Linked DNA regions of Diceros bicornis minor. The main gene of each other region encodes a partner of the protein of the gene in region 4 in a complex. Links are inferred from orthologs where the notes say so. Each region holds a gene or a part of one and is shown on either strand. Other genes may lie near its edges. The genes, in order: MED7, MED13L, MED24 and MED23.

The links.
Region 1: MED23 (region 4) and MED7 share a complex: the UniProt entries of both Homo sapiens proteins name them as parts of the mediator complex. The link is inferred for Diceros bicornis minor from reciprocal best matches to the Homo sapiens genes MED23 and MED7.
Region 2: MED23 (region 4) and MED13L share a complex: the UniProt entries of both Homo sapiens proteins name them as parts of the mediator complex. The link is inferred for Diceros bicornis minor from reciprocal best matches to the Homo sapiens genes MED23 and MED13L.
Region 3: the proteins of MED23 (region 4) and MED24 are in contact, whole or in part, in a cryo-EM structure (PDB 7EMF), measured with the Homo sapiens proteins. The link is inferred for Diceros bicornis minor from reciprocal best matches to the Homo sapiens genes MED23 and MED24. Residues at the interface, in NP_004821.2 of Homo sapiens: Asn150, Thr151, Val152, Ser153, Ser154, Glu193, Gly194, Leu196, Pro197, Trp199, Leu201, Gly202, Asn203, Ser206, Asp207, Asp210, Arg213, Tyr258, Asp259, Lys260, Phe263, Ser1133, Arg1139, Ser1176, Glu1180, Glu1182, Trp1183, Val1184, Tyr1186, Arg1189; in NP_055630.2 of Homo sapiens: Lys238, Thr239, Leu280, Leu283, Lys287, Val291, Glu295, Cys336, Glu339, Phe340, Lys343, Leu344, Thr345, Pro346, Leu347, Asp349, Lys350, Gln353, Lys384, Glu720, Lys721, Trp723, Thr756, Arg757, Lys758, Glu759, His760, Met802, Asp803, Pro804.

Annotation. Positions count from the first base shown.
Region 1 is NC_080740.1:73,135,428-73,143,283, forward strand, and holds the start of MED7 (mediator of RNA polymerase II transcription subunit 7), read right to left. Parts: upstream 3,018-7,856; 5' UTR 2,937-3,017; intron 2,874-2,936; exon of another isoform or gene 2,757-2,873; intron 1-2,756. UniProt on the Homo sapiens protein: Component of the Mediator complex, a coactivator involved in the regulated transcription of nearly all RNA polymerase II-dependent genes.
Region 2 is NC_080774.1:13,709,118-13,716,468, forward strand, and holds the start of MED13L (mediator of RNA polymerase II transcription subunit 13-like), read right to left. Parts: upstream 3,017-7,351; 5' UTR 2,936-3,016; coding exon 2,864-2,935; intron 1-2,863. UniProt on the Homo sapiens protein: Component of the Mediator complex, a coactivator involved in the regulated transcription of nearly all RNA polymerase II-dependent genes.
Region 3 is NC_080757.1:39,631,977-39,639,357, reverse strand, and holds the start of MED24 (mediator of RNA polymerase II transcription subunit 24), read left to right. Parts: upstream 1-4,365; 5' UTR 4,366-4,406; intron 4,407-4,610; exon of another isoform or gene 4,611-4,797; 5' UTR 4,798-4,878; coding exon 4,879-5,008; intron 5,009-5,097; coding exon 5,098-5,180; intron 5,181-7,381. UniProt on the Homo sapiens protein: Component of the Mediator complex, a coactivator involved in the regulated transcription of nearly all RNA polymerase II-dependent genes.
Region 4 is NC_080762.1:6,424,813-6,432,157, reverse strand, and holds the start of MED23 (mediator of RNA polymerase II transcription subunit 23), read right to left. Parts: upstream 3,018-7,345; 5' UTR 2,925-3,017; coding exon 2,877-2,924; intron 2,544-2,876; coding exon 2,512-2,543; intron 2,353-2,511; coding exon 2,265-2,352; intron 1-2,264. UniProt on the Homo sapiens protein: Required for transcriptional activation subsequent to the assembly of the pre-initiation complex. Component of the Mediator complex, a coactivator involved in the regulated transcription of nearly all RNA polymerase II-dependent genes.

The DNA.
Region 1 (7,856 bases), on a different chromosome or scaffold from region 4:
GACAAGAAATAACTAACTACAAGGCTACTACAAAAGACCAACAGATCTAACTACCAAAAATAAATTTAAAAGTTCCATACAGGAAAATATCATAAGCAGAATTAAAAGATAATCCATTTTCCTGGGAGAAAAATGCTTGCAAGCTAACAAAGGGCAAATACTAAAAATTTTATTTTGATTTTTTAAAAATGCATTGCCTGACTCCACCTCCACTAGAAGAAAAGGACTATGACTCCAGGAAGTGCCTATCTTGTTCCCAACTCTAATCCAGCACCTCAAACAATGCCTAGAAGGTGCTAGATCCTCAATAAAGGTCCACTGAATGAGTTTTTTTAAAAAAAAATCTACATTAAAAAAATAGACAAAAGATGACGAGGAAAATACAAATGCTGAATAAAAGCTAGAAAATATTCAGACTAATACCTTTTTCTTTATTGGTGAGGAAGATTAATCCTGAGCTAACTAACATCTGTTGCCACCTCCTCTTTTTGCTGAGGAAGATTGGCCCTGGGCTAACATCCATGCCCATCTTCCTCTACTTTATATGTAGGATGCCGCCACACCATAGCTTGATAAGCAGTGCATAGGTCCGCACCCGGGATCCAAATCTGTGAACCCTGGGCTGCAGAAGAGGAGTGTGTGAACTTAACCACTACGCCACCGGGCCGGCCCCCAGACTAATACACTTTTAAAAGCAAATTTTAAAAAGAATACTTTTGGGCCGGCCCCGTGGCGTAGCGGTTAAGTGCACGTGCTCCACTGCTGGTGGCCTGGGTTCCAATCCTGGACATGCACCGAGGCACTGCTTGTCAACCCATGCTGTGGCAGCATCCCATATAAAGTGGAGGAAGATTGGCAGAGATGTTACCCCAGGACCAGTCTTCCTCAGCAAAAAGAGGAGGATTGGCATGGATGTTAGCTCAGGGCTGATCTTCCTCACAAAAAAAAAAAAAAAAAAAGAATACTTTTCATTTATCAGACTATCAAGACTTCAAATATTCCATCATTCAACAAATACTAGAACACCTTCCATGTGGCAAGCCCCAGATTCCCGCAGAGGTCACATTCTCCTTCCTCTCAGTTTCTTCAGAGTGGTCATCTCAATCTCAGAAGCAGGCTCTTAGCTATTCTGGCCCTGCAGGGAAGTCGCCTCTGGTGGAGAGCATCCATTCCCTTCAGCTCTCACAGAAGCCACCATCACCACCACCACACAATACTCTTAGGTGGTAGATCAGTACCACCTAAGAGAATCTGAGGAAGTCTCATATACAACTGAGAGGAAAGGAAACAAATATATATTTGGAATTTAATTTGGCAGTATCAAAATTTTAAATGCTGATATTCTTTGAACCAATAATTCTATCCCGAAAAATTTATCCTATAGAAACATTGGTACAAGTACACAAAAATGTGTATAAGGATGTTTAATGCAGCCCTGTTTGAAAAAAGAGCAGGAAACGTTAGAAATAACTCATGATTTCATCAATATGAGGGCTGGACAAAATACATCTACATAATACAACACAGCCATTAAGGTAAAAGGGGTGCAAGTACATGGGGTGGGGTGGGAGGTTATAAACACTGTGTACTGTTTCATTTACTTACAACACACTTATGATAGTTGCAAACAGTCATAATCAACTTTTTAAAACTTTTTAACATAAATTCAGACTTACAGAAAAGTTGTATCAACAGTACAAAGAAACTTCCATATTCTTCACCCAGATTCTCCAAATATTAACATTTTCCCCTCATTTGCCTTACTGGTCTCTCATCTCTTTACCCTCAAATACTTCAGTGCGTATCCCCAAAACAATGTTCTCTTATAAGCACATAATTACCAAAATCAGAGAATTAGCATTGACCTGGTACTTCAAAACAAATTTTAGACAGCCCAGGTTTCACCCCACTCAAGCCTTTTTAGGTTGGGAGTCGTTTTGTGCTTCCCAGCACCACGTGCATTCCTCTAATTAAGTTGCCATTTTCCAAAGGTCAACTACGTGACAGGTACCATTGTTTTATATCCTCTCTTACTTACTCTTCATAACAAGTCTATGAGTTAAGTGGTATCATCAATTTCATTTTAAAGATGAGGATGCCAAGTCTCAATGAGGGGAAGTGCTTGCACCAGGGATCAAAACGCCAGTAAGTGGCACAGCGGGAATTTTTATCCTTGGTCCTTTGAGCTGCACAGTACAAGCTCCCTTAAACCAGCAGACTATGAAGCCTCTTAACTGCACAAAAGGAACCTGACATACTACAGAAATTATGTTTATTTTTCTATCACTTGTTTTGATTGAATTTTTCAAAGGCGATGGAGGTGTTCAGTAAAACCATCAAAGCCGGTTATCAGACTCAAGATCCACCTTCTAGTGTTTGTTCCATTCTGGGGGGTTTAACCAAAAAAGAAAGGTATCCTGGGGTCCCATCCCCAGACATTTGATTCATTTTGTCTACTGTGAATGAGGCCTCTGGAATGTAGTTTTTAAACCTCTGCAGATGAATCTGACGTTAGGCTTGAGATCTACCTCCTCTCCCGCCCCCCATTAATTCAGCGGATTTCACGATCGCTCCCTGGAGAAGAAGGGCAAGGAGGGTTATTCTCATTTTACAAACGCCGGAGAGGCCGAATGACTCGCCAAGGCCACACAGCCTAGCAAACCAGCGGCGCAGGACTAGAACCCAGGTCTCCCACCCTCCAGTCTGGCCCGGCCTCCCCACAGGGAGGAAGCCGGAGCCCGCCGCCCTGAAGGCACCTTCCGCCAGGCTGTCCACCCGGGGCTCCTCGAGCGGCGGGAAAGCCGCGCTCTCCGACAGACAAAGAGAAGAAAGAAAGCGAGCACTCCCCCCACTCCCAGCCCGCCCTGAGGAAGCCGCGGGGTCCGGAAGAAGAAACGCACGCAAAACAGAGCCCCAACCCGTCGCCGCCCACTCACCTCAGTGCTGGGTATAGTCTAGCAGCCGCTTTCGCCACCGCAGCCGAGATCCGACTTCCGGTCTCCTCCTCCAGGAAGAAGCCACCGACACTGCCCCTTGATTGGCTGAAAGAGCTTTCCTTTAACCGAAGCTCTAGTCCCGCCTCAGACCCATGGCTCGCTATTGCGCCTGCGCGTATCTCTTTCCTACGGCCCACCCCAGCAATTCTGCGGTGGGGTCGGTGGTTGGGTTTGCAGCTGGGGAGGGTTTCTATCAGTAAAAGGAGCAGGTGATATCTCCGTTCTTTCTTTTTTTAACGCTTGAAATGAAACAAGGCAGCCATATGCCTTACATAAAAGTTAGAAAATACAGGTAAGCGGATATTTTAAAAAATTATATCGACTCTAACCCCACTGTCAAAAATAACATTTAAAGAAATGAGATGGACTCTATATGCTGTTTATATATTTTTTCAGTCTGGAAATATTTGTGAACATGATTGGAGATCAGTAATAGTCTCAATTTCCATTTCCTCACCGTCCATTCACTTTTATTTTCACTTAGGAATTCAGCCATGTCTATTATATTTCCAGGCAATAAATTAACAAATTTAAAAACAAAATCAAACTTAAAGGTTTCCTTTGGACGTTACTTTCATAAGTGTCACAAATTTCTAAATTCGTGGGAATCTTACAAGAGCATGTTGCACACAGAAAATAAGGTTGTTATTTTGATAAAAGTTCTCAACCTAACCTCTTTAAAATAAAATTCTTTGACTTAGTTTTTTAAAAACTTATTATGGAGAGTTCCAAATATTTACAAAAGTAGAGAGAACAGTGTACTCATCACCCAACTTGAACAATTATCTACGTATAGACATTATTTCATTTCAGCATGCATCTCTAAAAGATAAGGACTTTCTTTTTTTCACATAACCACAGAACTATTGTCTCATTTAAAAATAAATTAATAATTATGTTACTGCCCAAGGGGGGTCGTCTGCTCAACGCAAGGCATGACAGTAGTAGAGAGGAAAGGTGGTAGGAGAGAAAGAGTTTTATTATAGCTTGCTAGCGAGGGGGAAGATAGCTGACTAAAAAGAACCAACAGAACCAAGACTACAGGCCAGTTTATAGGCGGTTGGTCTCCGCATGGTTGGAGGGATTCGGTCTTAGTTCCTGGAAATCTTTTGTTTTACTGGATATGCATCAGAGACTGGAGCAACACCTTATACCCTGGTTTAATTTGAAGATAATAAGACCAAAATCTTTAATATGTATAGTAAAGATTACTGTTTACGTGAGTGGTGCCAACAATTTAATACCATCAAAATCAAGTCAGTATTTGGATACCAATTGTCTCAGGATCCAAATGAAGTACACTCATTTGTGACTGACTGATGTGTCTTTTAATTACCTTTTAATCTATAGGTTCCTTCACTCATCTCAATTTTCCCCCTACATCAATTTATTTGTTGGAGAAATCTATTTACTTTTGAGCATACTCCAATCAGGCTTTTCTCCTCGCCGCTGAGACCACTGTGACCTACAGCTGTGACCTCCAGAGGTCATTCTTAGTCCACTTTTTACTGCATGCTCAGCAGCTTTTGGCACATTTGATTATTTGAATTGCCCCACGACGCAGTTCTCACTTATTAGTGGGATATCATCCAGGTGATAATATCCAGGTGATTCCAGGCCCTGGCAACACCCTCTGCTTTGCACTCAGACCCTTTATCCAACAGTATTGTACATCTTTACTCATGCAAGTGCACTTCACTCAATTGCAAAGGCTCAAGTCTAAAGATTCATCTTTTACCATTCTTTCTTCCATGCTCCTTCAAATATACTATCCCAGCCTTTTGTATCAGTTCTATTTAGAAATAAGTAAAAGTCCCAAATATGACTAATTTTCACCATCTCTGCTGCTATGGTCCTAGTCCATGCCACCATTATCTCCCCTGGACCTCTGAAATAGCCTCCTAGCTGGTTTCTTTGCTTCTCTTCTGTCCTCACTTCGCCTGTTTATCACACTCTTAAAATATAAGACAGATCTGACCACTCCTTTATTCAAAATTCTCCAAGGTTTTCTGTCACATTTACGATAAAATCTAATGTCTCACCATGGCGTATATAAGGCCCTACAAAATCGAGTCCTTGGCTACTTCTCCAATAACATTTCCTATGATTTTTTCCCGTGCTCACTCTTCTCCAGCTGTAGGCTTTCCAACCATACTCCTACCTCAGAGCCACTGCATTTGCCTGGAACTCTCTTTCCACAGATATTCATATGCCTCACTTCCTCACTTTATTCAGGTCTCTGGTCAAATGTGACTTTCTCAGAGAAGTCTTCCCTGGTCACTATAAAATAGCATGCCCCCAACCATTCTCTTGGGGGATGCCCCCAGTCCCCTTACTATGCATTATCCTTCTTTCATTGAACTTATCATCATCTGATATCATATTATGTAGTAGATTTATTTATTTATTTTTATTGTCTTTCTTCCTCATCAAAATACAAGGTTTGTGAGTGTGGGGCCTTTGTTTCATTTGCTGCTGCATTCTCAGCACCTAGAACAGTGCCTGAAATTGGCAAGTACTCAAGGAATAGTTATTGAATAAGTAACAAAATGAATATAATCATCATTTTCAAATGAATTCACAGTATGACATTGATGGATAGACCACAATCTATTTAGCCAAAGCCCCATTGTGTAAAATTATCTTCTTCCCAATTTTTGCTATTGTTAATACTCTGGATGAGCATCCTAGTGCATATGTTTGTGCATGTGTCCAATTTTTTTCCTTGAGGTAAATTTCTAGAAATGGAATTACTTGACCCAAAGGTGCGGGGTCTTACCGTTAGTGGCAGGATCAAGGCTAGAATTAGAACATTTGACTCTCAGTCTAGTGTTCTTTACAGTAAACTACACATGAATAATGATATGAAATGTATATCATGAGAGGGGCTAGTGAGAATATGGCATACAATAAACATTTGTTTAGGTGGCATTTTCCAGAATCTGAATGGAAAGTTTATTCCTTAAAGATGCTTTCTGTAGCTTAACAAGGAATACAGCCATTCAACAAATCTTTATTGTGCATCTACTGTGGCAAGCACTGTTCTAGAAGGTAAAAAAGACAGACAGAAGCTTTGCCTTCTAATGGAGAGACACAGACAACAACGTGCCAACAAATAAGAATTTCAGATAATGATAAGGGCTATAGGGGAAAAAATAATACAAAATAATGTGGTAGCTATGTGAGTTGGGGGGTAGCTACTTTATAGAAGATGATCAGGGTAGCCTCTCCCAGAAGGTGACTTTGGAGCTAAAACATAAGTGATGAGAAGAAGTCAACTGTGCAGACATCTGGGAGACGGCAAGTGCAAAGAGCCTGAGACAGGAAGGGAGTCTGTGTGCTCTCTAACGAATGAGCAAAGGGAGAGTGGGTGGAGGTGAGGAGCAGAAACTGGCAGGGGTGTATGGTAACTGGCATCTTGCCTGTTTTAGGAGCTTGGCACATTATAAACATCATCATTATTTATCGTTTGATCCTAAGTGGCAAGCAGAAATACTCACACATTTTCTCCACTCTGTTGGTTTTTTAAGGTTAGGTTTATTGAGGTGTAATTTACATCCAGTAAAATTAACTTTAGGTGTAGAGTTCGATGAGTTTTGATGAATATATACTGTCATATAACCACTACCACCAGAATTAGGATATAGAATATTTCCATAACCCCAAGCAATTTCTTTTGTTCCCCTCTTGTACTCAATCACTGTCCGTCGCCCCCAGCCCCAGTAACCACTGATCTGATTTCTGTTCATATGGTTTTGCCTTTTCCAGAATGTCATATAAATGGAATAATGCAGTATATAGACTTTTGTCTCTGGCTTCTTTCACTTAGCATAAAACTTCTGAGGTCCATCAGTGTTGTTGCATGTATCAATAGTTTGTTCCTTTTTTATAGGTGAGGAGTATGCCATTATACAGATGTACCGTAATTCATTTATTCATTCACCAGTTGATGGACATTTGGGTTATTTTCAGTCCTATAAATATTCATATATGTCTTTGTATGGACATATGTTTTCATTTCTTTTGAGTAACTACGTAGAAATGGAATTTCTGGGCGTTCTAATAGTTATATGTTTAACTATATAAGAAAATGTCAAGCAGTTTTCTAAAGAGGCTGTATCATTTTTCATTTCTACCAGTGAACTATGAGAGTTGCAATTGCAATTGGTATTTTCCTTTTTATTTTTACTTTTTGCAATTCTAATAGCTATGTAGTGGTTTTAATTTACATTTCCCTAGTGTTGAGTATCTTTTGTGTACTTATTTGCCATATGTATCTTTTCTTTGGTGAACTGTCCCTTCAAATTTTTTGCCCATTTTTTGATTGGCTTATTTGTTTTCTTACTATTGAGTTGTAAGAGCACGTACACACACACCACACTGGATATAAGTCCCTTATCAGATATGTGTTTTGTAAATATTTTCTCCCAATCTGTGGCTAATCTTTTCATTTTCTTAACAGTGTCTTTCAAAGAGCAGAGGTTTTTAGTTTGGATGAAGTCCTATTTATCAATTGTTTTCTTTTATGGTTCATACTTTTTGTTTCCTATCCAAGAATTCTTTGCTTAACCCAAGATCACAAAGATTTTTCCCCTGTGTTCTCTTCTAGAAGCTTTATAATTTTAAGTTTTACATTGAAGTCTAACATCCTTTTTGCATTAATTTTTATATGTGGTGTGAGATGAGTTGAGATTACTTGGGGATTTTTTTGTTTGTTTTGCATGTAGGAGTCCAATTGTCCCAGCACCACTTACCCTGATTTTGATTTGTTGGTCTTATTACCTCTGTCACTGGTAGACAGGTTCATAAATAATAATCTCTGAACTCTTATTAGTCAATTACATTGTATCTCTGCGTGTT
Region 2 (7,351 bases), on a different chromosome or scaffold from region 4:
TGAGGAAATTTGATGCCATGCAGCAGACAATCAGAAAGCAAAGTAAGTAAAAGACTAACAAAAATCTTAAGGCAGCTGATTGCACAATCAACTTTTGCTAAACTAGAACGAACACCTAAAGGTAATAGAAAGTGGGTGGGTCATTAATGTGGTACAGAACTTTCATCTCTAGTTTATATTTCAATCTACATTAACATGAGTATCTAGGTAAATTCTATATAAACAATACTTTTCTCTGCTCAAAAATACTGCAGGCCAAAAAAGCACATATATGCTATTATTAAGCACACAGAGTTCTTATAATACATGCTTTATTTTAAACAGGTGATGATTTTATCTCCTTTGGAATTAACTATACTATACAATGTACTTTAAGCAACATATTTTTAATGTTCTTGCTGCTATATCTAATTTTCCAAAAAAATCTCAAATTTGAATGAGAAAAATTTACAATATCAGCACCTTTTTAACTGATTTGTAATTTTAAAAAAATAGCACCTTATCCACCCTCTGCATACAAGAGAATGTAGACTTTCTCTAGTCCTTTAAAAAAAAAAAAAATCAAAGCATGCATTTCTGCAGTTCTGCATTTCAAAGTTGCTACCTAAAGAGTAATTCTGTTTAAAAAAAAAAAAAAAAGTATATTCAAAAATCAATTCCTGGTTTAAAGAGGTTTAAGAGAAAATACCCAAAGCATTAATCTTTAGTTGGTCATAAAGCACAGAATCCTCTCCCACAAAATTGTTTCTCCAAAAGAATCTCAAGCATCTTATCTCTATAACATTATCACCCTTACTTAAGCTTAAAAAAAAAATAAAAGATAAAAGAAATGATGTATCTTAAAGACTGGCTACACATATAATATACTTTCATTTGTCTACAAAATCTACTGTATATAAATTAGCCACACATACCCAAGCCATTACCAGTCAGCATGATATATGGTAATTTGGGGGATCTCTCCTCACTAATATTGGTCTACTTGGTTATTTTAATTACCTGTTAAAGTGTCAATGTGGTCACCAGCCACCAAACAAAAACCATTTAAAATATCCCTTAATCAATATGTTTGCTAATCTACGAAGTCCCTGAACCTGATACTAAATGACAGAATGAGGGGGAGAAAAGAGGATGCAAAATGAGTTTTATTCCCACATACCAAAAGATCAAGGGAAAATAATCACAGTCCTGAGAGGAAGAAGAGCAACTTGTAACTGAATTTTAAAATTAAATATCTGAATAAAAATGTTGGAAGAAAAATAAAATTGACCTGATCTTACCACAGCAAAAACATGGATACTATGTCACTCGGGTCACTGTAGGTAAAAATCGCATGTTTTGATTTTTTTTATCTGCATAATGAAACATATTGAATAAAATAACACTTTTATTTGAAAAGTTGGCAAGAATTTGTATGTCTCCACTAGTCTCAAAGAAAAAAAGCCTCTATGCTACCCATAATTAAATGTAACTAATTACAATTTGAACACTAAATTATTTATCCAGTGTAAACAAGGATTAAGAGGAAATAATGCTCCCATCTGCAGCAGAGGTTACAGAAAACAATTTCCAAAATGCATGCGCTCCAAAAGTCAGTTCCCCCAAAAAAGGTACACAACTTAAAATAAGTTGGTTTTTTTAAGGCTAAATTAAACAAACCGTTCAGCCAATTTTCCAATTATATTCTACGCTTGAAACATAATTGCCTTACATCTGTTTACAAATCTTTGCTCAATATTTAAACAAATTCGTAGTCTCCCGGGCACATAGCTATACATACAGTAACTCCTGCACAAAGCACATATTTAAAGACCACGTACTGCAATTATTAGCCTAAACGCCAGGTTTAACAACATGAATGTTTTCAGAGCTAGGTAATACGACCCAATAAAAAGCAGAGATGGCATTTACCACCAAATGTCACTGCGACCGCCAGGAAAGAGTTGCTGGAGCCCTATACATTTTTAATTTCCATGAATCTAGACGCCGTCGTCGGGTGCCAGGCTTCCAGGAGAACAATTGACACCCTAACTGCTTCAAGATTAAGGCAGGCGATTCAAATCCCAAGGAAAAGTTGTCAATTACCAGCGAGAGCGCGCGAGAGAGGCGAAGGCAGATAAAAGCGATGTTATCCAGCCGCCCAGCTTGTTGCTTTTTTGTGTGTGTGGATTCGTTGTTAGGATAGAGAAAACAGTTTTTAAAAGACACAGGAGGAGAGAGAGAGAAGAAAAAGCTTTCTCCACCTTCCGTCGGCTCGGTGCAATGGCTTTCCGGCTCTCCAGCGTAGTAAGCCCCGAGAGGCGGGCGGCTGTCGGTGTTTACAATCGCGGGAGCTCCGGGTGCCAGAGTCCTTTACTGACACCATCGCATTCGATCAACTGTTTTCGGGCGAAATTGCAGGTGTCATTATGGAATTTTAAAAAAATTCAAAAGCCGGGCGGGCGAGCGGGCAGTCGACCCGACAAGGGGGGAAAAGGCTGCCGATCGCAGGCACGGGCAGCACAAGGCAAAGCCTTCCACATTTAGGGGAAAAAAGGGGGGAAGAGGGGAGAGGAAGGGGGTGTGATGGCAACAGAGGGTGGGCGTTCGAAGTGCGACCCAGAATCCGCAGCTCTGAGACTTCCACATGCAAATTCCACGCCGAGCGCCGCGCTCACAAATGATTTTTAAAGAGCCAAATAAACACTGGAGGGGAGCCAAGGCGAGGAGCGACGATCCAAAAGGGGGAGACGCGGCGAGAGGCGAGCGGCGGGGAGAGGCGAGGGAGGGGCACGTCCCGGCGGCGGGAGGAGAAAGTTGGTCGGCGGCGGAGGTCGGGGACCCCCCCCCGGCCCGGCCCCCTCCCCGCCGCCCGGCTACTCACCAGCGAGAAGAGGTTGGAGTGACAATCCTCCAGGCTCGCCCCGTTCGCCACCCAGTTCGCTGCCGCAGTCATGATCCTCCGCGAGCCCGGCCGCCAGAGCGGGGCATGTCGGAGCGAGGCGTCCGAGGCGAGGCCGGGCCGGGCGGCGGCGCCTCGCCGGGGAGCGCGGGCGGCCGGGCCGCCGCCGCCGCCGCCGCCGCCGCCGCCGCCGCCGCCGCCGCCGCCGGGGGAGGGCGCGAGGGCCGGCGGGCGGGCGGGAGGCGCCGCGGCGACGCCGCGCCGGGGGCGGCGGGCCCGGGCCGGCGGGGGGGTCCGCGGCGGCCGCGCGGCTCCTTCCTGCTCGGGCGGCGGCGGCGGCGGCGGCTGCCGCGGCTCCGGCGGCGGCGGGGGGCGCTGTCCGCGCGGCCCGGCGCCCTCCCCGCCTCTCAGGGCCGCCGCTGCCTCCCGGGCTGGCGCTGCGGGCCGGCCGCCGCCTCCGCCTTCCCTGTTCCTCCGCCGCCGCCGCCGCCGCCGCCTTGTTTATCTCCAGCCACCGACTCCCCCTCTGCCCCCGCCGGCGCGTGAGGGGAGGCGAGCCCCGGAGCCACCGCCGCCGCCTCGGAGCCGCCGCCGCCGCGGAGCGCGAACTCGCGAAGGGGGGGGTGCGGACGAAGCCAGCGGGCGACCCCGGCAGCCGAGCGACGTCCCCTCCTTCCTCTTCCTCCCCCACCCCCCCCTCCTCCCCAGTCAGCCTCGCTTCTCCTCCCTCCCCGGGCTCGCTCGCTCTGACAGCAATGGCGGCCGCCGACCGCGGCTCGGCCCGCCATTGGCTGGCGCCGCGTCACGTGACGGGCGCCGGCCGCGCGGGGGGGCGGAGGGCGGGCGGGGGAGGGGCCGGGAGCGGCTGCGGCGGCGGCGGCTCGCGGGCGGCGCTGCTGAGCCGAGCGCGGCCGGCTTCTCGGGCCGGGAGAGGGAGGGAGGCGGAGAGGCAGAGAAAGAAGTGCGGGCGGCGGCCGGCCGGCCGGCCGGGGCTGCCGTGCGCTGTCCCGCGTGGGCGCCGCGCCCCGCCCCCTCGGGTGCACGGATCCCGACGAGGCGCGACCGCGAGCCCCGGGAACGCCCGTGGCGGCCACGGCCGAGGGCTCGGGCCCCCCGCGAGTGCCCCCGACCGCCCAGGCCAGCTGGCGTGGCGGGGGCTCGCAGTGGGCCGGGCAGCAGGTCCAGGGGCTCCCGGGAGTGTCGCGTCGAGGTCGCACTCCGCCGTCGGCGTTCTGCGGCTGAGAAAACTGAAGCACAAAGAGATTAAGTCACTTGCCCGAGGTCGCACAGCTGGGAACTGGAGGGGGCGGGATTCGAACCCCCGTACCCAGGCACAGTCAAGCCAAGCTCTTGCGCTAGGTTTTATAAGACTCGTCCAGGGATATTCGGGGCTGCCACTTAGTGAGCGCTTACTGTGTACCAGGCACTATGCGCTGAATACAGGAAAGCCTTTTGAGGCCTTACTCCTAGGCACTGTGTGCAGACATTCATTCACTCATTGCGTCAGTGTTTCCTTACCTCTTGCCACGTGCCGGAATATGTTATAACTGCCAGGCGCTGTGCTAGGGCTGTGTTGGGAGCAGACCCTCCCTCTTGGCTACATTCATTCAATGACCAACATTTTCTGAGAGCATATGGCCTGGGAGTCCAGAGGTGTGCCAGTAAGAGGAGGCTGTCTCCCAGCCCTCAAGGCTTTGCTTCCGGCAAAGGTGGGAAGGAGAGAACAACTTCTTCGCCAACAAGCCACCAACTTGGAAGAGTCAGCTGTTTCAGGTGGATTGGACTAAAAGAGAGGAAGAGTAGAAACAGGGGAAAGATGGAGTGTAATAAAAGGAGAGAAGTCTTAGACGTGTGAATTGAGCTTTAGAACTTACACAAATAACTGCTAAAGTGAAACCCATGAGCAGCGTGTTACATATATTATTATCAAGGCTGACACTAGGTTATAACCCGCTGACACTATGTTATAATGAATGTATATACAAAGTGCTTTATCAACATGCATGGTGTTACTTGGGCCTGAGCAATCAGTCGGTGGGATGGTCCATTATATCCCAAGGGGCCTTCATCCTACACACCTGGTCACCAAATTCTCATTCTTCAGTAAGTTTAGGTTTAACTTGTTAGTAAGTCTCCCAGAGCAACCCAATAGAAAAATGAGCTAAGGATATGGACAGTTTAGAGAATAGGAAAGACATGGCTTTTAAGTATATAAAAAGATGCTCAACCTCACTCGTTGCTATGGACTGAATGTTTGTGTCCGCCTCAAATTCATACGTGGAACCCCTAATCCCTAGTGTGATGGTATTCAGAGATGGAGCCTTTGGCAGACGGTTAGGTCACAAGGGTGGAGCCCTCATGATGAGATTAGTGCCCTTGTAAGACAAGACTTGAGAGAGAATGCTTTCTCTTCCTCACTCCCCTCCCCTCCCCTCCTCTCCCCTCTCTCTGTCTCTCTCTCTCTCTGTGTCTCTGTCTTTCTGCTGTACAAAGTCATGACCACAAAGAGGGCTCTTACCAGGAACTAAACGGGCACCTTGATGTTGGACTTCCCAGCCTCCAGAATTGTGAGAAATAAATTTCTGTCATTTAAGCCACCCAGTCCCTGGTAATTTGTTATGGCAGCCCAAGCAGACTAAGACATTCATTATAAGAAAAACAAACTAAAACCATAATAAGTATTGGCAATATTTTAAAAGCTTAGGCAAATATGGAGGGAAGCAGAACTCTGATATACTGTCAGTGGGAATATAAATTAGCACCACAGCTTTCGGTGTCAATTTGGAGACATCGAAATTTATAATGCATGTACCCTTTGACCCAGCAATTCTAGTTCTAGAATTTTATCCTACAGAGATACTTGTGCAGATGTATAAAGACCTGTAGCACAAGGACATGAATTATAGTACTATTTGCTGGGCAAAAACTGGAAACAACCTACATGTCCATCATTTGGGGAGTAGTTAACAACGTAATTTAATTCCGTGTAGCCATTAAAAATAATGAGTTATCACTATGTGTCTCATATAAAATAATCTCAAAAATAGCTTATTAATTGAGTATCTCTGGAAGGTTACCCGAGACTCTAGTAATATCAGTTGCCTCTAGGGATGGGAGTCAGGGTGGGAAGAGGGTGAGGAGAGTACTTTTCACTGTACTGTTTGCGTTTTCTTTCTTTCTTTTTTCTGAATATGTATATTACCTGCTCAATGCAGTGTTATAAACAACACAAATCAATAAATAAATAAAATTGAAAACAGAATAATCAAATGGCACCATAAAAGGAAATTAAAAAGCAAATAAACAACACAAGACAAAAGAAAAAACCTCATCTGAGGGGATTACCTTGGCTGTCAAAGCCAAGGCCCCAGAGTGGAAGGGAAAAGGCCAAAAGTGCAGTGTGCAATTGCCCTGGCAACATGAGGACAGAAGGAGAACCCAGGGGAACTGGGTTCTAGTCTCAGATGTGCCACTGAGCAGCCCTGTTAGCTCAGACAAGCCCCTCAACCTCTCCGGGCCTCAGTTTCCTCATGTGTGAACAGGGCAGCCGGGGTGATCCTTCAAGTCATTTCTAGCAAGAAGACTTGGTTGATTCTGCACAGTTGAGAGGACTGATAAAGATCTGCAGAGTTCTTACTCAATAGAGAAAGCAATGGGAGTTGATGGAAAGCCTCAGGAGATAAGATGAAAAGAAAAGAAAACAAAAACCATCAACTGACTACTAGGAAGCAGCAAGGTACCAGGCACTGGGACTTCTGAGTACAGTTCCGTATGTGGGGACCTCATCAGAAGCATCCTCCTGACTTAGTTTCTCCATTTGTGAGAATGCCTGCTGCCCCGGCAGGAAATAGACGTTCCACTCTGCACAAGTCTCAGGTCTTATTCTGAGAATGACAGGTTAGTTCCCTTTCATGGTTACCAAATGTAATGGCAGAGAGAAAATGGAAGCAAAAATATGACCAGAGGAGGAACCACCTATTCGAGAGACCACAGGAAACCACCACAGCTGCAGGGTGGGAGCATTTTGCAGGAGTTAAGACTGTTGCTTCAGAGTAAGACACACCTGGGTTCCAATCCCTGCTCTGTCGTGCACAGAGCTGTAGAGCTGTGCAGCCTTGAGCAGGTCATTTAAGCCCTGTGACCCCCATTTCTTCCTGTGCATTGACCTCCCAGGGTGATAACACAGAGAAAGTTCTTAGCACAGTGCCCGGCCCCATAGACGGTGATCAAAAAATTATAACAATCACAGTCACTAGTCCATCCTCGTACAGTGGAAAGTGGCACCCAGTCACATCACTTGCAGCTTTTTTCCCTTTAACCTAAGCTTTATTGGATTTATTTTATTATAAATAACAAAATGTTAGCTAGAGCAAATCAAATGATATAGGAGCATACCAAGAAAAGGGAGTCCTGTTCTCTCTCCCCCACTAGGATAACCAAAGTCAACGAATTGTTGTGAATCTTTACTGT
Region 3 (7,381 bases), on a different chromosome or scaffold from region 4:
ATCGCAGCCCCTCTTTTCTTCTTTTTTAAAGATTTTATTTATTTATTTTCCCCCCCAAAGCCCCAGTAGATAGTTGTGTGTCATAGCTGCACATCCTTCTAGTTGCTGTATGTGGGACGTGGCCTCAGCATGGCCGGAGAAGCGGTGCGTCAGTGCGCGCCTGGGATCCGAACCCAGGCTGCCAGCAGCGGAACGCGCGCACTTAACCGCTAAGCCACGGGGCCAGCCCCCTCACTTCTTCTTTGCGCTGGGAATGTGGAGAGGGAAGGCATCCTTCAGGGTGTTAGAGAAGAAATACTCCAAGGACTGGTTCAAATTCTTTTTTTCACCATCCTGGCTGGTCTCTTTCTGGAGCTCTTCTGTGGGGGCAGTGGGAAGATAGAGACAGGGAACTTGGGGGGTCCAGGAGCTGTCCCTGAGGTGGGGCCACCATGTAGGTCTCTCCCCCATTCTCCTCTCCCCCAGATAGAGAGAAAGCAGGGATTGATGTGGGGACCGATGGGAGAAGGGAGCTGATTTGGAACCAGCTGTGTATGAGTGTGTGGGAACGACTCTTTCTTTCCCCATCCACCTGCTGCCAATTAACTCCCCATCCCATAGTGGGGAGACCCAGGCAAGCTTCCAAAGGAAAATGTTCCAGTTAGGGGAGGGGAATGACTCAGTTTCCCTGTGGAGAGAAGGGAAGCTGAAACCTTCTGTGCCTTGTATGCTTACCAAGTATTTCAGTGTTTCTGGGTATAGACTCTTGCCACTTTTCCTTATACAGTTGACCCTTGTTGTCCGCAGGTTTAGTACCCGCGGTTGGTTGAATCCAAGGATGGGAAACCCGAGGATAGAGAGCGCTGACTGTATTCATTGTACTACACCTTTTTTTTTTTTTGGTGAGGAAGATTAGCCCTGAGCTAACATCAGTGCCCATCTTCCTTTATTTTATGTGGGACACCTGCCACAGCATGGCTTGACGAGTGGTGCATAGGTCTGCACCCAGGATCTGGGCCTGCGAACCCCGGGCCGCTGAAATGGAGCACGTGAACTTAACCACTACGCCACCAGGCCAGCCCAATGTACTACACCATTTTATAGTGTAAGTGTAGTATCCATGGATTTTGGTATATGCGAGAGTTCCTGGAACCAATCTGCCATGGATACTTCTTTCTAGCCTAGATAATGAATGTCCCTGTCCCCTTGAGTACAAAAAACCCTGTTCCTCCCAGCCTCTTACCCCAACCCAAGTCCCCACTCTGGCCTAGCTCCTCTGCTGCTACTGCTCCAGTGTTGCCATGTCACTCTGGCTGGCTGGTTTCCACCTGTGCTTCTTCTCTAGCCAGACCCCTTCCCCAGCCAGATCAGCCAACAAGATGAAGAGGGTAGGGCTCAGGGTTAAGAGAGCAGAGGTGGGAGCTCAGCCGCTATCAGTGCTGAGGGAGAAGAAATGGACAGCAAAAGAAAGTGGAGTAAGTAAGAGGGGTTTTTGAGAGGGGCTGTATGGGCGGAGAGTTCCTTGTATAGCCAAAAGGGATGTCAGCATCTCTTCACTCACACAGTGGAGGATCATCATAGAGTCCCGTCTTTGTGGTCAGCAAGCCAGAGAGCTTGCGGGTCCTAGGAAGCTATTGTGTTGTGCAGGGAAGAGGTGGTGTACGGGAAAGGCTGTCTCTGATATTTGCAGACTAGATAGTCAGGACAAAGTAGAGAAATTGAAAATGGCCCTTGCCCAGAACTAAGAGAGTCCTTGTACTCCCTTAGGAGTCCAGTCCTTGGGGAAACCCTGCCAAGCCTAGAGAAAGGACTACTGGTGAGAGGTGGGGGGACAGGGAAGGCAGATGGCCTGACTACAAAAGCCACTTCCCTGTCACTGTAAAGTGGGGAAGAGGCATCCTCCCCCCCAGAGATCTACCACCCTTCCTGTCAGAGGGGGATGGTTTGAGCTCAGAATATCACTATCCTCAGGGCCCAAGTATTCCCCACTCTCATGTGGACTGGACCCAACACCTACTAACTCGGTTAGGAACAGTCACAAAGTTGACAGCCTCTCTCCAAGAGGGGCAGTCTGGGCTATGAGGGATGGGAAAGGAGCTGTAGGATCCAGGAATGACTCAAGGTAGGGGACCCTTGGCTTCAGGAGCAGGAAAAGAATGAGAGGAAGAGAGCCGGCAAGGTAGAGTGAGGGGCCTGGGAGAAGAAGGGAGCCCAGATTTGTGAGAGACTGCAGAGAAACAGGGTTGGTGGCGTCTCAAGTGTGTCTGTGTGGCTGGGGGAGTTTGGAGGTTAAATATGAGGAGTATGGGTTCTCCCTCCTTCCTGCTTTGGAAGCTTTGGCTACACATATTTGGCAGCTGTTTTATATAAACACTATTCACCACTGGTGTCACTTGGGCAGGCACAAAAGGGAGCAGAATGGAGGGGGGTATGGGTGGGTGTATGGGGAGGGAAAAAGGCCATAGGCAGTAATGACCTTAGAGGGATGTGACTTGGCCCTCCTCCAGCTGCAGTCTCCCCTTCAGAACAGGAGTCCTTTTCTCCCTGTTTAGGCTATGCTCCAGATACTCAGGATCCTGTTATTCTCTGCCCTAAGGGCCACAAGTTTGTTTCTAGAGCCTGAGTAGGCTGCTCTCCCGGATTCATCCTTCTGAGGACTGATTTTACCACTGAAAGGGTGGCCAAAGAATGGTCGTTGGGGAATATGGATGGATCTTGGACTCATGGGGGTATGGGATGGGAAGGCTCAAAATAGGGGTGGCAGGACATTGGGCGGATGACTCCATGATTATTCTTGTCCGTAGTTGTAAATGTTAGGGACGACTTGTCCACAGGACAGGGCAGGGATGAAGGCTGTGTATAGGGAGGCTCAGATGTTGGAGCCAGGGCCGGCCCTGTCCCTTAGCGGTTAAGTTCGCATGCTCCGCTGCTGGCGGCCCGGGCCTGGATCCCGGGCGCACACCGATGCGCCACTTCTCTGGCCATGCTGAGGCCGAGTCCCATGTACAGCAACTAGAAGGATGTGAAACTATGACATACAGCTATCTACTGGGGCTTTGGGGGGAAAAATAAATAAATAAAGTTAAAAAAAAAAAAAAGATGTTGGCGCCAGATGTGGGTAGCATTTGCTTTTGGGCTTCCCACTGTGGGGTGGGAAGTGGGGGAACAAGAGCTAATGCCTTAAACCCTGGACATAATTATCTACAATATGGTTCCAAAGGATAAGTGAGACATCACATTGTTTTTTTTTTTTAATTTTATTTATTTATTTATTCCCTCAAAGCCCCAGTAGACAGTTGTATGTCATAGCTGCACATCTTTCTAGTTGCAGTATGTGGGACACGGCCTCAGCACTGCCGGAGAAGCTGTGCGTCGGTGCGCGCCCGGATCCGAACCCGGGCCGCCAGCAGCGGAGCGCGCACACTTAACTGCTAAGCCACGGGGCCAGCCCAAGACATCACATTGTTTTTAAGAAACATTATTTTTAGGAATAGTTTTTGATTTACAGGAAAAAATTTGAAGATAGTAGAGGATCCCTACATACCCCACACCTAATTTCCCCTTTTTTAAACATCTTACATTAGTACGATACATTTGTTACAATTAATGAAACAATATTGATACATTATTATTAACTAATGTCCATGCTTTATTTATATTTCTTAGTTTTCACCTAATGTTCTTTTTCTGTTCCAGGATCCCATCCAGTGAACCGAGTTACATTTAGTCATCATGTCTCCTTAGGCCCTCTTGGCTATGACGGTTTTTCAGACTTTCCTTATTTTTGATAACCTTAACCTCAGTTTCCTCCTTACTTTCCTCCTTGCTTCTCCCTGTATTCAAGCAGTTGCAGGGCCAGGAGATTCTGGGAGGACTGCCAAATTTGGGGGTGAAGTAGTTATGTGTGTGCAACTGACCAAGCCTCAGTGTCGCTTCTGGAATACAGGTGTGGCAATGAGAACAACTCTGATAGGCGCAGGGGTTTAGGAGAGCAAGAAAAGGCCAGGAAAAAGAAAACGTATTGCTGAATCAACGCCACACACTAGCTGTGCCTACTAAGTAGCGGGTAACGAAAGGGTGTCGGAATATAATTTAAAGGCCGGGTCGACAGTGACGTCATTGGGCCACGTCTGATCGCGAACCGCTTTTCGAGAGCCCTCCCCGCTCAGCGGTCTGAGTCTCCGTGATGCTTCAGCCTCTCCCTGTCCTTCCCTAAAGGAGAGAAACAATGCGCGGTTACTAGCTTAGTCCCTTAGCTTCCTGGCTAGCCCAGTCCAGGAAACTACAATTCCCAGAAGGCATCGTGGCGTGACCGGTCTCTTGCTACATTCCTATTGGTTCATGTTTATTATTCCCAGCCAATAGAAAATTAGCCCTTTGATAAGTGCCAAAATGGCGATACCTAGGATCTAGGGCTTGATTGTCCGGTAGGCTTACATTTGGGCAAGTGGTGGATGAAAAAGAAATATGGAGTTGTAGTTTTAGGGTTAGGGAAGGTGGAGGAAATGGGGGTGGGGGGAGGGAATGTGCGTTCGAGGTGGTGCTGGCTGAGGGACGCAGCCGGAGCTAAGGGCGTAATTAGGAAACTGGATTTGGCTTAACCCCTTGTTGCCCTATTTACTCTTTGTATTAAGCCCGTTTGACACCCTCTTCTTAGTGCTTCAGTTTAAGGAAGGATGGTTCAGGAGGGAAGAACTTGACAGGATCCCTACCTTGCCCCCTTCCCCTTTTTTCCTTTCTAGTTCCTCTGCCTCCCTTAAATCTTCTTGTATCTTCTCCGTTGCATTTAACTCTGCCCTCCCCTGTTCTTTTCCTCAGAATCTCCTCTTCTCTTCTCCAGCTGGATTTCTCCCACCTCAAAGGTGACCGCCACCGGCCCCGCCTCCTCAGAGTGAAATCATGAAGGTGGTGAACCTGAAGCAAGCCATTTTGCAAGCCTGGAAGGAGCGATGGAGTGACTACCAGTGGGCAATCAACATGAAGAAATTCTTTCCCAAGGGAGCCACCTGGGACATTCTCAACTTAGCAGGTTCTCAAGTGAAATAGGAAGGAAGGATGGGAGGGCTAAACTCAGAAAAGTTGTAACCACTCAGTCTTGCTTTGTTATTCCGCTTGCAGAAGCACTACTGGAGCAGGCTATGATTGGACCTTCCCCCAATCCTCTCATCCTGTCCTACCTGAAGTATGCCATTAGTTCCCAGGTAAACTGCCCCACCTATTCCAGAGAGTGAGGGTTTGAAGGTAAAAGACTCGGAGTACAATTGTCAGCTCATACTTTTTAGGTGAATTTGTTTGAATACATCACTTCTCTGAGCCCTAGTTTTCTCGTAAAAATAATAATGCTTCATTGGGGGCTGGCCCAGTGGCGTAGTGGTTAAGTTCCTGGCTCTGCTTTTGTGGCCCAGGGTTCTCAGGTTCGGATCCTGGGCGTGCACCTTCACACCACTTATCAAGCCATACTGTGGCAGGTGTCCCACATATAAAATACAGGAAGATGGACACACATGTTAGCTGAGGGCCAATCTCCCTCAGCAAAAAGAGGAAGATAGGCAACGGATGTTAGCTCAGGGCTAATCTTCCTCACACACACACAAAATAAAAGATAACGCTTCGTTGGTTATGATGAATATTACATTAACTTATTCTCTCAAGAAGTATTCCTGAATTCTTGTATGTGCTAGACAGTGCCGCAGACTCCGGGGATATAGCTGTGAACAAGACCTGATCCCAGCGCAGAAGGAATTTGGTGGGTGATACAGATATATAAATAAGCAGTCGGTCGCAGGATGGGTTTATGATCTAGGTTAGGGCAGTAGTATGGGAGTATATGGGAGGGGTACGTGATCCAGTCTGAGGAATCAGGGAAGGCTTTCTAGAGGAAATGATGTTTAAACCAAGACCTGAATGGTAAGTAGGAGTTAGCTAGGCGCGTTGATGAGGCTGTACAAAGCAGGGAGGAGAGCATGTGAAGAGGCTGGGAGGCAAAAGTTGCATGATGATGAAAATAATTGAGTATGGCTGGAGCAGCAGTTTTGGTCTGAGGACCCTTTTATACTCTTAAAAATTGTTGATCCACTGGGCAAAACTGAAAAGGTCCCCGGTGACAATCCAACAAAGAAACAAAGAAAAGACTCCAAGAAAAAAATTATTGAGACTGCTTTGTTTATATGTTTTTCATCTATCCATATTTACCAGTGTAGGAATGAAAACAGAAATTTAAAAATATTTATGAATTTATTTAAAAGTAACAAAAAATAAAGCCATTACGTGTTAATATAAATAACATTTTAATGAAAACTGTATTTTCCAAAACAAAAAAATTAGTGAGGAAAGTGGCATTGTTTTATGTTTTTACAAATCTCTTTAATGTCTGGTTTAATAAAAGACAGCTGAATTCTCAAATCTTTTTTTTTTGTGTGTGTGAGGAAGATCAGCCCTGAGCTAACATCCATGCCAGTCCTCCTCTTTTTTTTTTTGCTGAGGAAGATTGGCCCTGGGCTAACATCCGTGCCCATCTTCCTCCACTTTATACGGGATGCCGCCACAGCATGGCCTGACAAGTGGTGCATCAGTGCCTGCCCGGGATCCGAACCTGCGAACCCCCCGGGCCGCCAGCAGTGGAGCGTGCGCACTTAACCACTACTCCGTGGGGCTGGCCCCTGAATTCTCAAATCTTGTGCATTCAATTGTTGCAATAGGCTATTTTGGTTGAAGTGTATGAAGAAAATCTGCCCTCACACATCAAATATTTAGTTTGGAAAGGGAGCAGTACTTTAATAAACTTTTCAGATAATTGCATATTCTTCTTTGATACACTAAAATTCAACAGGTGATGTGAAACCACATGAATCAACTTTTTATACTCCATTACATTAAAATCCATTAGTCTCTCTCTTGCACTTTGAATATATCTTTTACCCATGCATGATTTTATCATATCATGAATTGGTCATTTGGAAAATATCCGTTACTGAGTTACACAGATATTCCAGTTGACACGTTTAATTATATGATATCATCACATATCATAGAGCCTCTGGGACACTCCTTGTACAGTTGTGAGAGAATGAGAGTGAAAAAGGCAAATAACATCTTAGTCGTATTTATTTTTTGACCTCACAGACCCCAGGGGTTCCTGGACCATATTTTGAGAACTGCTGGGCTAGCACTTCAAGGAGGACACTGGTTTAGAGTGAGATAGAGATTAGGTCATAAAGGACCCGTGAGTGATGCTAAGGAGTTTGGACTTTATCCTAGGGTGACAAGTAATCATTTAAAGGATTTTAAGTGGAAGAATAGTATGATAGGAGATATATATATATTTAACATGCAATAAAATGCACAGATCTTAAGATTAATTCAGTGAGTTTTAGCAATTGTATATACCATGTCACTGATATCC
Region 4 (7,345 bases):
CTTAAAAATCTTACAATTATATTGATTAAACACCCATCATTTTTATTACATGGAACCCCCCAAAAGAGTAATATTTTATTAACATATTCATGGTCAAAAGAAAACTTTAATAACGATTGTGTAAGGCATTGTAAGCAGTGCCCTTAACGGTAGACATAAATATTCCTGTCACTGGGGGAAAGAATTCATTATGAGTTAGTACCTTAGCCTCATGACAATTTAGTGCGAATCTAATCCCTAAGAGCCCAATTATGGACCCAATGACACATCAAATTTCTAGACTTGCATAACTAAAATCTGATACCAATCTGTAGTGACCACGTCTAAGTCTGTCTTCCAGGGTACCCTCAAGGATATCCTGTATGTCCTGCTCCTCTGCACTTCTACTGTCCTTCACACACACTTTTATTGTTGAATGTATAATGCTGATTTACAAATGTCTATCTTCCTCCTGGCTCATCTATGGGAATATAAACTTCTGGAAGACAAGGGCCATACCTTAACCCATAAAATGTTTAATGAATTATTAAAAAATTAAAATATGTTGGAAAAATGTTCAACATCACTCAGAGAAATGAAAACATAAAACCATACTAAGATAAAATTTCTCACATTTTAGAAACATGATCCAAAAGTTCATTAACACTCTACTGTGAGACTATAGAGAATAGACAATCTTACACATTGCTTGGGGAGTACAAATTAGTATGACCCTTATGAAAAGCTATTAGGCAATTTCTATAAAAATTACAAATAGACATACCCTCTGACCCAGCAATACTACTTCCATGAATTTATTATGTCCTGTGTATAATATTATTGTAGTATTGTTTAAAGAGGAAAAGGTAAGAAGCAAACTAATGTCACTCAGTAGAGGTCTGGTTAAACAAAGGAAGGTGCAGCCATATAATAGAATATTATCCTGCCATAAGAAAGCAAGAGAGGAAGGAAGGCAGAAGTAACTCTTAATGGATTGATGTAGAATTACTTTCAGAATTTAACATTAAGAGGAAAAAAGCAAGGTGCTAATGAACAGTGTACACAGTATTGGAACATTCTATAAAAATGATTCTGTATGCATAAAATACTTTAAAAAAAACAAACTGGGGATCCTGGCTGCAGACAGGAAAAAAATACCAGGTGATTAAGCTACGGGAAATGGAAGGCAGACTATTCACTGGGTCCCCCTTTCGGTACCTTTTCCATTTTGAACCATATGAACATATTACCTATTAGAAAATAATTAAAACAAATAAAAAAAAATGAACATATTGCCACTACGTGACCCATGTCTGTGATCCATGCCAGTGGCTCTGCTGCAAATGGTCCTCATTTTCCTTCCTATAATGCACCCTGAGAAGATAATGCACTACCAGAACATGAGCTCTTTATTTATTTGTTTTTTTTGTGAGGAAGACCAGCCCTGAGCTAACATCTATTGCCAATCCTCCTCCTTTTTTTCCCTTTTTCTCTCCAAAGCCCCAGAAGATAGCTGTATGTCACAGTCGTACATCCTCCTAGTTGCTGTATGTGGGACGCCGCCTCAGCATGGCCGGACAAGTGGTACATCAGTGCGCACCCGGGATCCGAATCCCGGCGGCCACTAGCGGAGCGCAAGCACTTAACCACTAAGCCAGGGGGCCGGACCCAAAACATGAGCTCTTTAAACATCACACATTTTGTCTTTTTTATGGATACATTTTCTGGTGACTGTTCTTTGCTACTAAGTTTTGCTGCTCTTTCCTCATTTCTACTATAATGTCTTAAAATTATAATTATATTATAATGTCTTATTATAATAAAGATGTAATAATGTATCCTTATTATAGAATCTTTGTATCCTTATTGTGGCATCTTTGTGTCTTCCCCATGGTATCTTTGTTATAGTATCTTTGCAGCAATGTTGTGCCAGTTCCTTTGTTGAGTAATTGAATGAAATTTTTATCCTTTTACAATCCCTAACACAGCTGTTTTCAAGTGCACCAAATAAATTGGAATAGGATGGAAATGATTTTATATAATCTAACAGAGGGAAGATTTTTAAAAACATCTTATACTGTTTTGTCATCAACTTCACTTGTCAATACAGGTTCTCCACTGGAACAATACAAATGGAAATAAATGGAAACCAGAATAGACAAAATAAAAGATGATGACAATTTTATTTCTCCCTCTCCAGAACTATCTTAACAGCAGCATCAAAGCAAATGTAAAAAAAGGAGTCAAAAATCATCAGCTGAATGTATTAAAAACGCAGTGCTCACCTGAGAAAGACCACCCCAAAACTGTCTGAAGGCCCCCAAACAGCTAAGTAGTTTTGTTTTTTCATCCTCAGGGGTGTCCATAAACATGCTAAAAAGCAAAAATCACATTATTTGCCACTATTTTTAAAAAAGGTAATTCAACATAACCAGAATAGTGGATCTTATAAATCTCCAAAATAAGCCCAAGTAAAATCTTACAAACATAGGCTCCCGTAAAAACACAAACATCTGCCATGCCTATACTCACCCAGGGAAAGCCTCTTCTATAATTTCCGTTTTCTGTGAAAAAACAAAAGTAGACAATGTGAACTAAAAAAAAAAAAAGAAAGAAAAAAGGGAGAGGCCTCCCCGAGCAAAACATGACAACATCACAGGGGGCAGGTCTCCTCCATCATCCACACGCAGACACCGACGATACCCGCCCGGCCTGCCACCCAGGGCGCTGTGGGTTTGAGAGAGGACCCTGAATTTGACAGCCGGGTGAGAACCGCTACCCCCTGCACACGCACACACGGTGTCAGGGCAAAGGGGAGGGGGGAGAGGGTGCCCGTCCCCTCCGTCCACCCCCATCCACGGCCCCGCCATCGCCCTGGCCCCCGGCCGTCCACTCACCACCACCTCCTCAAAAATGCTCTGCAGCTGCGTCTCCATCTGGACCATCGTCCCCGCCGTCCTCGGACGCCAGCGCGCGGCCTGACCGGGAACAGGGGCCGAGGGGCGGACACTCGCCCTGGTCCCCGCGCTCCTCAGGCGCTCGGCCGAGCGTCCCTTCCCGGGCGGGGCAAACTACGGCAGCCTGCGTGGAAGCCCGGAAGCGCCTGGTGCGCGCCGATGACGGAACCCGCGGAAACTAGTGACCCAGCCAGAGGGTTCCGACCGTGGGGAAAGGAGGCCCGGGAGCCCGACCAGAGCGCCCCCACGTGGAGCCTCGAGCCTAAAGCTCCCCGGGGCATCGTCGGGGGCAGGCTGCCACCTGCGGGCCGGAGCGGGAGTTGCTTCGTGCTCGGGACTACTGCTTTTGCATATTTGCAGCCTTGGGGAAATGCTGCTGGTGCAACCCGGGTCAACCGGAAGTCTGCGGACCGCTGACCTCCTGGAGCTCCGCCAGCGGGCTGGAGCGGGAGGTGAGACCAGACTCTTCCTGATGGCAAGGACCAGGCCTTCTCAGCCATGGTAACCTCAGTGTCTTGCAGGCTTTCCACGAACGTTGAAAAAAGTGAATGAACGCATCACGATTGATTTTTGATTAGAATAATCGAAAAATAATACCTACCGTTTTCAGTTATAATCATCTAAAAATAGTAATATGTATCAATTCCTGAATACCTGTAGCCTCTTTGGTGGAGAAAGGTGGCAAAGAAGAAGTCTGGTCCACTGGTGTGGTCAGAGCAGATGCCTCAGTGCTCTGAGCAGTGTGTCCTCGACCTCTTTATTCTTTCTAGCATCACTTTGACATGTTCCTGGACGTTTGCCCTCCTTCCAGCTGAGTTAGGTGTCTCTTCTTTATCCTCGTATAACACCTTTGTGCATGAATAGTAGAGTTCTTCCTTTATGGAAGATTTACCCACCGTTTGCTCAGTGCTAGACACGGGTGTTAGGGATTTAATGAACAGTATTGCAGTTATTGATTTTGCAGCATATCCAAGCTAGAAGGATCACAGAGCCAGAATTATTAAAATCCAAGTCCCCTCTGTTTTGTATGCTGAATAGATGACCTTATTGTGGATCATCTTTATTCAGATACACCTCTAAGACAGTGTTCATTTGCTCTCTGGCAGATTTCCATGCAATGGTGGTGGAGAATGGTCTAGAAATGGATGGTCAGTTTATATTCAATGAATGGAGCATCTGTAAGCATGATATAAAAATCAATTTGTTTTTGGTTATGGCAAAAATACAATTCTTTCCCGACCATTTTACCTTTTTATTATATGAGCTCTGGCCAACGTTAAGATGAGCTGGCGTGTGAGAACACGCTGATTTGGAAGCACAGAGTCCCAGTCACGGCTTTGATAGATGAGTCTTTGACCTGGCAGAAACTCAGTTCCCTAACATATCCACATGCAACCACTGTATGCCACTGTTACCACATAATAGCTTCTAAAAACTGAGATGTAAGAATTCAAATTTCCTGCTAGAGAATAGCTTCATGGGTTAGGTGTAGGGTATTAATTTGCTAGGGCTGCCATAACAAAGTACCCAGTCTGGTGGCTTAAACAACAGATACTTATTTTCTCATAGTTCTGGAAGTTAGAAGTCTGAGATCAAGGTTTCCTGTTTTAGTCAAGGAGTCATAATCCATTATTGTCATTATTTATTTTGATAAATATATCAACTATATATATTTATAATTGATAGATATATCAATTGGTTGGTTTCTTTTGAGACCTTTCTCCTTGGCTTGCAGATGCTCATCTTCTCCCTGTGTCTTCACGTGGTCTTCCCTGTGTGCATGTCCATGGCTAATTTCTTCTTCTTATAAGGATACCAGTCATATAGGATTAGGGCCTACCATAAGGATCTGATTTTAACTTAATTAACTCTTTAAAGACCCTATCCTCAAATATAGTTACATCTTCAACATATGGATTTTGGGGGCATAAAATTTGGCCCCAAAACTCCCCCCTCTGGCCCCCAAAATTCGTGTCCTTCTACCATGCAAAATATATTTACCCCATCACAAAAGCCCCAAATCTTAACCCATTCCAGCATGAACTCTAAGTCCCAAATCTTATCTAAATATCTTCTAAATTAGGTATAGATGAGACTTGAGATATGAGTCATTCTGAGGCAAAGTTCCTCTCCAGCTGTGAACTGCTAACACCAGATAAGTTATCTGCTACCAAAGTACAATGATAGGACAGGCCTATGACAGACATTCTCATTCCAAAAGGGAGAAATTGGGAAGATTAAAGGGGTCACAGGTTCCAACCAAGTCTGAAACCTGGCAGGATGATTCAATCATCCTCTTTGGCTCGATGCTCTGTCCTCCAGGCCCCCTGGGATGGTGGCAAGAGTGAAGAGGCCTTCTATGGGAGGACAGCCCGATAGAGACTGTAGGTGCCTGAGTGGGATGAGGTGGGCATCCAAGCATGGGAGGGGGTGGTGGCAAGGTTGGGAGGCTGGCTTCGTACGGGGAAGTTTATCAAATCAGCAAAAATAGTAAGTTCAATGAGAGTCAGATTTCACCCTGTGAGAGAAGGGAGATACGTAAATGGGAAAGTAGAATGAACCTTGTGGTGCTCGGTTGGAATCAGGAATTTTGACATGAACGCATGGATTTCAATAGACAGATAGTTTTAGAAATAAGTAGAGATGATAGGTGTAATGTGCACACACACATACATAAACACATGTGCCACACACACTCATACATATATTCCCTAGTTCTGGTGATGAAGAGAGTGTGGGAGCAGCTACACTCCAGTGATCACACCTGGAGCTCAGATCTAACTGCTAGTCTCTACTTAAAGGAGCCAGGTCATTTGGAGTAATGCTTGATCACAGAGCCGGGCCAGGTAATGTACAAGAGAAGCATGAAGCATCTTGTTTTACCAGAAAGCAAGAAAGCTTTTAAAGAATGATTTTTTGGAGCTTGAATGCGTTCCCACTGGCCAAATAAGGAACAATATGAGCATCAAAGTGAATAATGATAATAATGGATTATAACTCATTGAGTAAAATAGGAAACCACGGGTCCACAAAGATGTAAATGAATAGATGAATAAATTAAAATTTTGGTGAGAAATGGTGTATTTATATATTTTCAATGTAATTTCACATACAATACTTATTCATAATAATGAGTATTATTGTAAGAGTAACTTCACAGTGGAGAAGCCAGAAGGCACCACTTTTTTTTTTGGTAAGGAAGATTAGCCCTGCGCTAACATCTGTTGCCAATCTTTACCTTTTTGCTAAGGAAGACTGGCCCTGAGCTATCATCTGTGCCCGTCCTCTATTTAATATGTGGGATGCTGGCCACAGCATGGCTTTGATGAGTGGTGCATAGGTCCGCACCTGGGATCCGAACCCGTGAAGCCTGGGCTGCCGAAGTGGAGCACGTGAACTTAACCACTAGGCCACTGGACCAGCCCCCCGGAAACCACCACTTTAATCAAGAGATCAAAGTGTACATCATAAGGGATGGGACAAATTGAAATCATGCATCTGCTAGAATGTGTGAGAAGGACATGGCATCACTACAGTTATTCTCCTGCCAATGTTTTATAACCTAAATCTAATCATAGGGAGATAGAAGACAAAACCACATTGAGGGACATTCTACAAAACTGTTCTGTGATATTCAAAAGTGTCGAACTGTTCTGTGATATTCAAAAGTGTCGAAGTCAAGAAGGTCAAGGAATAACTGAAAAACTTCCAGGATGAAGGAATTGTTCTATGACAACTGAATGCAAAACATAATTTTGCATGGAATCCTTTCACTCTAAAGGACAACAGACAAAACCTGAAGGGGATCTGAGGATTAGACGGTAGAAATGTATCAATGTTAGTTGTCTGATTTTTATGGTTATGTAGGAAAATGCCCTTAGTTAGAGGATATGTACACACTGAAGTGCTTGGAGAAGATGGGAGACCAGGTCAGCAACGTCCTCTAAAATCGTTCAGGAAAGGAATTGTTCTTTGTGTTGGTACCTCCAACTTTTCTAATAGTTTGTAATTATTTCAAAATAAAAAAATTTACTAAAGATAAGATAAGGATAAGAATAAAGAAATCCCATTTGCAAGAAATAAAAATAAAGCTAGCAGTTCCCTTCAAACGTTTGAATAGGAAAGGTGGATTCTTCCCAACCAATCCTCAGTGACAAGAAAGAGATGGTTCTGTTAATTCGGTGTGCCATAACAAATAGTCAGTCCATTTCATTAAATTAGTCTCCTAAATCTTTAGCTTGGAATTTCTGTAAAATGTTATATAATTTCCTCAACAGAAAATGTGAAACCAAACTACAATTTTCACTAGAAGGAGAAAAGAGCGTTTAAGTTAAGGACTGGTTGGAGATATGCTTGAATGAGTAACAATCACTGTCCTAGCTTTCCACAAAAATGACCCAGCCTTCAGC